Linked DNA regions of Danio rerio. The protein of the gene in region 2 purifies or fractionates together with the protein of the main gene of each other region. This does not show direct contact. Links are inferred from orthologs where the notes say so. Each region holds a gene or a part of one and is shown on either strand. Other genes may lie near its edges.

Region 1 (3,835 bases), on a different chromosome or scaffold from region 2:
AATTAATTAATTATTCATAATTGAAAATCGAATCGAATCGTGACTTAAGAATCGAAAATGTAATCGAATCGAGAATTTGAAGAATCGTGACACCCCTATGTGAAACTGTATCATGAAGTATCATCATCTTGTGAAACATAAAATAATGCAATATCAAACATTTCCAATATTGTGCAGCCCAGTCAACATTATTAGTCCTTTTAAGCTATATTTTTTTAGACTGTCTACAGAATAGTTATACAATAACTATCTCTAAGTACCCTAACTCTCCTAGTTAACCTGATTAACCTAATCAAGCCTTTAAATGTCACTTTAAGCTTAATAGTATCTTCAAAACTATTTGGTAAAATATTATTTACTGTCATCATGGCAAGGATAAAAATATCTTAAAAAGTATATCGGCCTCCGATTCTAAAGAGTCATCGATTATCTGTATCGGTCAATAATTCCATATAGGTGCACCCCTATTGAAAGTGTACAAAACACATACAAAGATGGCAGACGCACGTACCATTTGTGCAGCCAGTGTGCTGGAAAACTCACTGTTCATGGCGTAGGGCAGTGCGGTCTGTGCTCGAGAGCCATATGTGGTCTGAAATCTCTTTTTTACCTCATTGAGGAAGCCAAACGCACGGGACCGCTCAAACTCCTGAAAGAGAGACAAACGGTTAAGTGTGTGAATGGAGCTGGAGAGAAGCTGAGATCATGTGACGGATACTCACATCATCAGTGATGCACAGATAGACAATCCGCTCATGGCAGATGTAGTGGAAAAGATAGCTGAGAGAAAACACAATAGAAACACTTTAAATCAGCACAAAGAATCGCTGGTAAAGTATTCACAGCACATTAGAAGTGTTTCCCAACCCTGTTCCTGGAGACACAATAACAGTACATATTTTGGATGTCCCCCTTATCTGACCTATTCATTTCAGGTTTTCTCTCCTAACGTTCTGATGAGTTGATTGAGGTGTGTTTGATTAGGAAGAGGTTAGAAATGTGTACTGTTGGTGTGCCTTTAGGAACAGAGTTGGGAAACACTGCATTAGCAAAATGTCAGTTGTACCTGCCGTGAGAATATGTGAGCTTGTTGTTTTCAGATGGGATTTTGGCCAGGATCTGTTCAGTCACTTCCAGAAAGTTGCCAGAGAAACACGCATGCTTAGCTAGAACGGTTGATCCTCGAGCCACCACGGCAAACAGGATAGCCATCACCACTGATAAACCTTATCGAACACTGGAAGATTTAAAAACACCCTCATGTCAAAGTAAATTAAAACATACATCATTGACCTTATTTGGACTGATTCAGCTTTGGTTTGGTTACATTTTGATTGCAGTTAGTTTATTTGGTTTGGTTACATTTTGTTTCTTCGTGCTATTGAGAGTTTGGCTTTGAAAAAATGTTTTAGGTAATGTTATTAAATCAAATTTTATTAAATTGGTATGAAAAAAAGTATTGTTCAGGAACTTGTATCAAATTCAACCAGTATAGGTATTGCAATGACAAGATATATACAGTTGAAGACCAAGTTATTCAGTAAAATTTTAATTCTATTAAATATTTCCCAAGTGATGTTAATAGGAGAGAAGATGGTTTCAAGAGTTCACACTTCGATATTGCTTGACGCTATTAGCAGGTTTGGCATGCTGTCCCGGTAGATAAATGAGATAATTGAGCCCAGGGATCCCGTCTGGTCAATGATCATGTAAGGGTGTAAAAGATCAGGTAGCTCTTAAGAGCTCCACCTGGTTAAGGAGAAAAGTGGGAGATGGGGTGGATGAGGGGGATTCTTCAAAAAACGAAGATAAGGGAGTGAGGCTAGACAGGATATTTATAGTGAGTTTGGAATAATCCGATTGGTTTACTAATGATTACAGATGAGAGTCAGCCATGATCAATAATATCACATGCTCCTCTTGAAATTAGTTTGTGAAACTTCACTTAAATAATGGTGTAACTAATATATCTACTTTTAATATAACTATTTGCTTTTGTCTTTGACAAAAAGGCAGTCCTTATTAGCTGTTTTGCAATATAATTGTACACAACAAATCGTTTCAGCATCAGTATGGCAATGTGCACATTCACAATAGTCAAATCGCAAGATACGCAATGGTGAGTCTGAATTATAGTTGACCAAGTCCTACAGAAATGTATTTAATTACTGTATTTATATAGAATTTATTTTTAAAAAATGGATTAGTCCAAATATCTACATTTCAAAGTGAAAACAAGATTATTTTGCTTACCCCACAGGCAGATAACTTAGCTTGTTTAAAGTAAAAATGTAATATTCTGAAGGTGAAAACAAAACAACTTGCTCTTACATTTTTTTAAATATTTGAACTAAACGAGACAAAGCAAAGTAAGAAAAGCCTTTTTTCATTGTAATTATTCAATTTCTGAACCCGAATACAGTTAGTTTCCCTAGAAAACCATCACATATAGAGCTATTTAAACTATCTTTAACAATGTTTGTACATTTAAAAAACTATACACAATCTAGCCAAATTAAAATGATTAAGACTTACAATAAATACAGAATCAAAATTTCACAGGAGAGCTAATTATTTTCAACTATATGTAAATGTTGTTGCAAAATGGTAAGCCATTTGGTTTTTCATTTTAAATTTGTAACCAGGTACATCAAACATGACAGAAAACAAAACTTTCAAAAATGCTACTCTTTTCAGATACTGTAATTTTTTTTTATAAATACTCTTTAAAAACATATAGATATTTTGAAGAAAGCTGAAAATTGTACAGACATTGTGAGCCCCTCGTTAAATTATTTACAATATTCCCAATTCTTAAAATGTGTAATTAATTATTAATTTGGGCACATTACCAGCATTATTGTTTTTATTATAATTTTTATTATTATTATTATCATCTGCCATTGTAACCTATAATCAATTATGATGAACAAAATCAAGTCCTGCCATACATCTTTTTTTTTCTCTCAATTCAGAAGCCGTTATCTTTTGGCTATATATCACAATAAGGAAGGAAATACTATCGTAACTTCTGTTTCAGTTATTACTTAAAAAGGCATTTTTTCATTCACAGAAAAAACAGCACAACAATATTATAGTTTTTAAAATAGTATTTATATTAACATTTAAAGGTTGTAGCCAGTGTCTAAGCATTAAAAAGCTAATCACACCAAATGCACATCAATCATTGGACGGAAATGGGGGAAACACATTTGAGGAAACAGTTTGCTGAACCATAGTCTAGAATTCAGTCATGATTCTAGGAAACAGCAAACCAGCTTGTGATCAAATCACTTGACTCTGATCCCGTCTCCTTTTTCTGCATGCTGACTAAACAACTGAACATAAATCATTTACATAATACATTTTTAGCAAACTAAATAATAGAAATTCTGTACGTTTTTATTTCTGTATTTTACTACTTTTAATCAACCTTATGCAAAAAATGTGTTATTCATGTAAACAAAAAACTTAGTCCTGCTTGCTGGGAGCTGCTTTCAGTTCAAACCTAAAAATGCAAGTTCACTTTATTCAATAATGTGTTTTGTATTGATTAATCATTCATTTACACAATTTATTCTATTTTAAGTTACTAGTTCATTAATACAGCAACGTTATATAATTAAGGTAAAGTTGGTTTAATATTCACACATTCTGACTTTCTCCTTAATAATAACATTTCAGAAAAGTAAGCAAATTCTAAATGCCAATCACTACTGAAGTACAACATTGTTCAGTCAAATAAAGTGCTAATGTTGTCTTCAAGTCATAATCACATGTGATTTCAGACTGAATATTCAAAGTACACTGCAAATTTTAGATAGTAGATTTAACT
Region 2 (3,794 bases):
GGTTGGAGCAAAACTGTGCAGAGCTGCGGCCCTCCAGGAATTGAGTTTGAGACCCATGATTTAGAGGCAACGAGTGGTGAATTAGCCTTTGATGTGACGACTGCAGCAGAGAGGGTTTTGTAATAAAGACTAACACTTTCTATTTAGGATGTGACATGAATCATGCTGCACTGGAAGAGTCTGAGCAAACAATCCAAATCTTTTTGTCTGAAGCAAAACAGGGCATCGGTTTACTGTCAGAGATTTACTGCTTATGTCATCCAGTGTAGACAGAATTGCTAATTATTAAAGCATTACTGTTATCCAGTGTAGATAAAACCACTACTTAAAAGTATGACTGTCATCCAGTGTAAACAAATATCCATAAATTAGCAGTTTTTCATATTTTTTGTGATTCAGGGTTTTATTTTTCCCTGTTTATTTGTTTTTTAATTGCATTACGGGACCTAAATCTTTCTTCCAACAACTTTTAACCTTAAAAAGTTAGAAAAAAAATCACTTTTGTTAACAATTAATAGTTTAAAGTAATATATTGTCTGGGTCAGTGTTGTATATAAAGCTACAAAAACCTTGTAATAAACTGCCAGAACATTTTCTGGTATTTTACAGACTTATATTTCTCTATACATTATTTCTTATAGATTATATTATTTCAAACTACAAAAATGTCAATGAAAGCCACTTTGTCAAACAGTAGAGTTGAATTTTCAACATCAAAAGTGGACAGAGCAGAGATCAACATCCTATAATGCAATTCACAACCATAAATAAACAGAAAACACTTGTGAATCCCAAATTACAGAAACTGTTAATTATCAGAAATTTTGTACACTGTAGACACAATGTAAGCGGGCACCAGTATTCATCAGGATGTTTCACTTGTCAGTTATAAAAATGAGGCCTCGAAAAACAAAAATGTTATCCTCATACAGGCTATATCCAAAACCAACTAAAAATAAAAGCAAATATTTATACCACAACCCTAAAAGATAGCTTGCACACCACATTTTACTGTGATGCTTCTAATAACGCAAGGCCAAATGATGAGACAGGAAAATCGTAAAAGACAAATATAGAGATGGGAAAATGAGATAAACAAGCAATGGAAAACATGTTGTGTGTTTGGGAATGCTTATTGTTCATCGGCACGAGGATGCTCCTCTTGATTTGTTGATAGACACTGTGAACTTGTAAGAGTAGACAAAGTCTTCCTCTGGGAAAACAAATCAAAACAGGATGTTACTCACAAACTTTCAACAAACACTACCTGACAAAAGTCTCGTCTATCTAAGTTTTAGGAACAACAAGCAAATAATTGACTTCTAGTTGATCATTTGGTATCAGTAGTGGCTTTTATGAAAGGCAAAGGCCTCTAGAATACGCTTATTTTACCCAAATAAAATATGATCATGCTTTGATTTTTATTTATTTAATTAGGTCTGACTTTGCTTAAACAAAAGTCTTGTCACTTAACAGAAATACTGTACAGCAGTGGAAAAAGTGTTAATATTGTGTATGACTCCCACGAGCTTGGAGGACTGCATCCATACATCTCTGCAATGACTCAAATCACTTATTAATAAAGTCATCTGAAATGGCAAAGAAAGCTTTCATGCAGGACTCCCAGAGTTCATCAAGATTCTTTAGATTCATTTTCAATGCCTCCCCCATCTTACCCTAGACATACTTAATAATGTTCATGTCTGGTGACTGGGCTGGCCAATCCTGGAGCACCTTGACCTTCTTTGCTTCCAGGAACTTTGATGTGGAGGCTGAAGTATGAGAAGGAGTGCTATTCTGCTGAAGAATTTGTCCTCTCTTGTGGTTTGTAATGTAATGTGCAGCACAACTTGACTGATTTATGTGAGATTTCTTTGTCCATGCGGGTTCCAGTAGGTCTTCTGCAGTATATGTGATGTTTGGGATGCAGTTCAACAGATGATTCATCTGAAAAATCTACCTTCTGCCACTTTTCCAAACGATCAACTAGAAGTCAGGTTATTATTTGTTGCTTTTACAGCTGTGATCAACGACAAGTCAGGTAGTGTACTGTTCATAAAGTAACTTAATCATTAATATTCACCTTGTAGTCTATGTCAGCCAGCTGTAGACCAGAGAGCCTCCGATGACCGCAAGAATTGTGCAACACAACATGATCATCATCTTTTTCTGCAGGGGTGTAAGTGATCAGGATATAAAGACAGTGAAGGGAAGCAAAGGGAAAGGATGATTGGGAAATGTGTAGAAAGCAGAGTTGAAATCACGTAGAAGAAACAAGACATCAGTGCAAGAAGAGAAGTAAAAAAACAGAAGAAATCAAAGGGTAATGAATAATAATAAGAAGAAGAAAAAAAACCCTGCAAAACATGAAATGCAATTTGAAAATCTTAGAAACTAGTAGTTTACAGAATGGGAATGTGTCCTCACAGCGCAATGCATTCTGGAAATTTGGGAAACGGGAACATGGATCCTATTGAGCTCTATAGGTTTATCATCATTTCATTATATACACTGACTTGCAATAAACTGTAAGTGCTCAAACCACAGTTAGAGAAGAAATTATATATAGAAATGTTTTCTTGCAGCAGCTTATTAATACGCTGTCACTTACGAATAGGTTGGTTCATTTTAGCGCTGGAGAACTATTATATTACAGAATGCTTGTTTTAAGCTACTCAGACACACAACAAGTGTTTATAAAGCTAGTGCTGTCAAACAATGGTGACTAATAGCATCAAAAATAACAGTTTGTATTTACATAATGTATGTCTAAGGTGTATAAATGTTGTGTATCTATAAATAAAAGTATTAAAAAATTCTACAAAATAAATAAATAAATATATATATATATATATATATATATATATATATATATATATATATATATATATATATATAAATGTATTGTAAATAAAACTGCTTTTTTTTCTGTGGTGATTTGCATTAGTTTACATTTGCTGGAAAATATTTGGCAACGCAACTTGCAGATTCCCATTCTCCATTCATTATATCCATGAACATAATACACAGATAAAGATTGTTTGTTTTATGACACAGTTGCTGTACTCGTTCAAGCTCACCCTGCGTGCTTCCTGTTGGAACTTGGCAGCTTTTTTAGTGTCAGCCACAGCTCTTTCCACAAAACCCACCGACTGGTCCATGTTGCTCTCAATCCTGTCAATCATGCTTCCCTGTCGACAAATATAAATATTAAATGCTTAAATCTATCTCAAACCTGAGCGAAACAACATATAAAAGGTCTCCATTAAAGGGATAGTCCACCAAAATTGAAAATGCTGTCATCATTTACTCACTTGTTCAAAACCGATTTCAGCTAATTTGTTTATGGTCAATGGCAAACAGCGTTTTTAACAGCATGTTAATAAGAGGTTATGAACACATAACTGCCAACACTCCCATTTCATCTGGGAGTCTCCTGTATTTCAGACCCATCTCCCGCCACCCTCCCGTTTTGTTATTTCTCCTTAAAAACTCCCGTAATTTCACAACCCCCCCCAGCCAACCCCCCCCCAAACCCCCCACCCCCAATCCTCAGCTTTCTGGTACAGTCTATAACACCCCAGGATCGCCGACTTTGCTATAGTATCCAATCGCAGCGGCTTCACGAAACCCGGTCCATAGTAGTAACTTACGGTAGCTGTGTTATTCAAACACCTCACCCTCTAAACTTAGACATTCCCAGCACTCCGGCTCTCCCCTCCCCTGTCTATTTTCAGAGACAAATGTTGGCAAGTATGTATTAACATGCTTTTAAAAATGCTGTTTGTCATTGG

Evidence for each region.
Region 1: the proteins of stx3a (region 2) and sybl1 purify together in Homo sapiens (co-immunoprecipitation; 3 studies listed by BioGRID and IntAct, with this or other methods). This does not show direct contact. The link is inferred for Danio rerio from reciprocal best matches to the Homo sapiens genes STX3 and VAMP7.

What each region holds. Positions count from the first base shown.
Region 1 is NC_133189.1:9,605,518-9,609,352, forward strand, and holds part of sybl1 (vesicle-associated membrane protein 7), read right to left. Parts: intron 1,238-3,835; 5' UTR 1,213-1,237; coding exon 1,067-1,212; intron 781-1,066; coding exon 723-780; intron 650-722; coding exon 512-649; intron 1-511. UniProt on the Homo sapiens protein: Involved in the targeting and/or fusion of transport vesicles to their target membrane during transport of proteins from the early endosome to the lysosome. Required for heterotypic fusion of late endosomes with lysosomes and homotypic lysosomal fusion.
Region 2 is NC_133176.1:48,092,417-48,096,210, reverse strand, and holds the end of stx3a (uncharacterized protein LOC571872), read right to left. Parts: intron 3,192-3,794; coding exon 3,081-3,191; intron 2,358-3,080; exon of another isoform or gene 2,170-2,357; coding exon 2,092-2,169; 3' UTR 2,084-2,091; intron 1,214-2,083; 3' UTR 609-1,213; downstream 1-608. UniProt on the Homo sapiens protein: Potentially involved in docking of synaptic vesicles at presynaptic active zones. Apical receptor involved in membrane fusion of apical vesicles.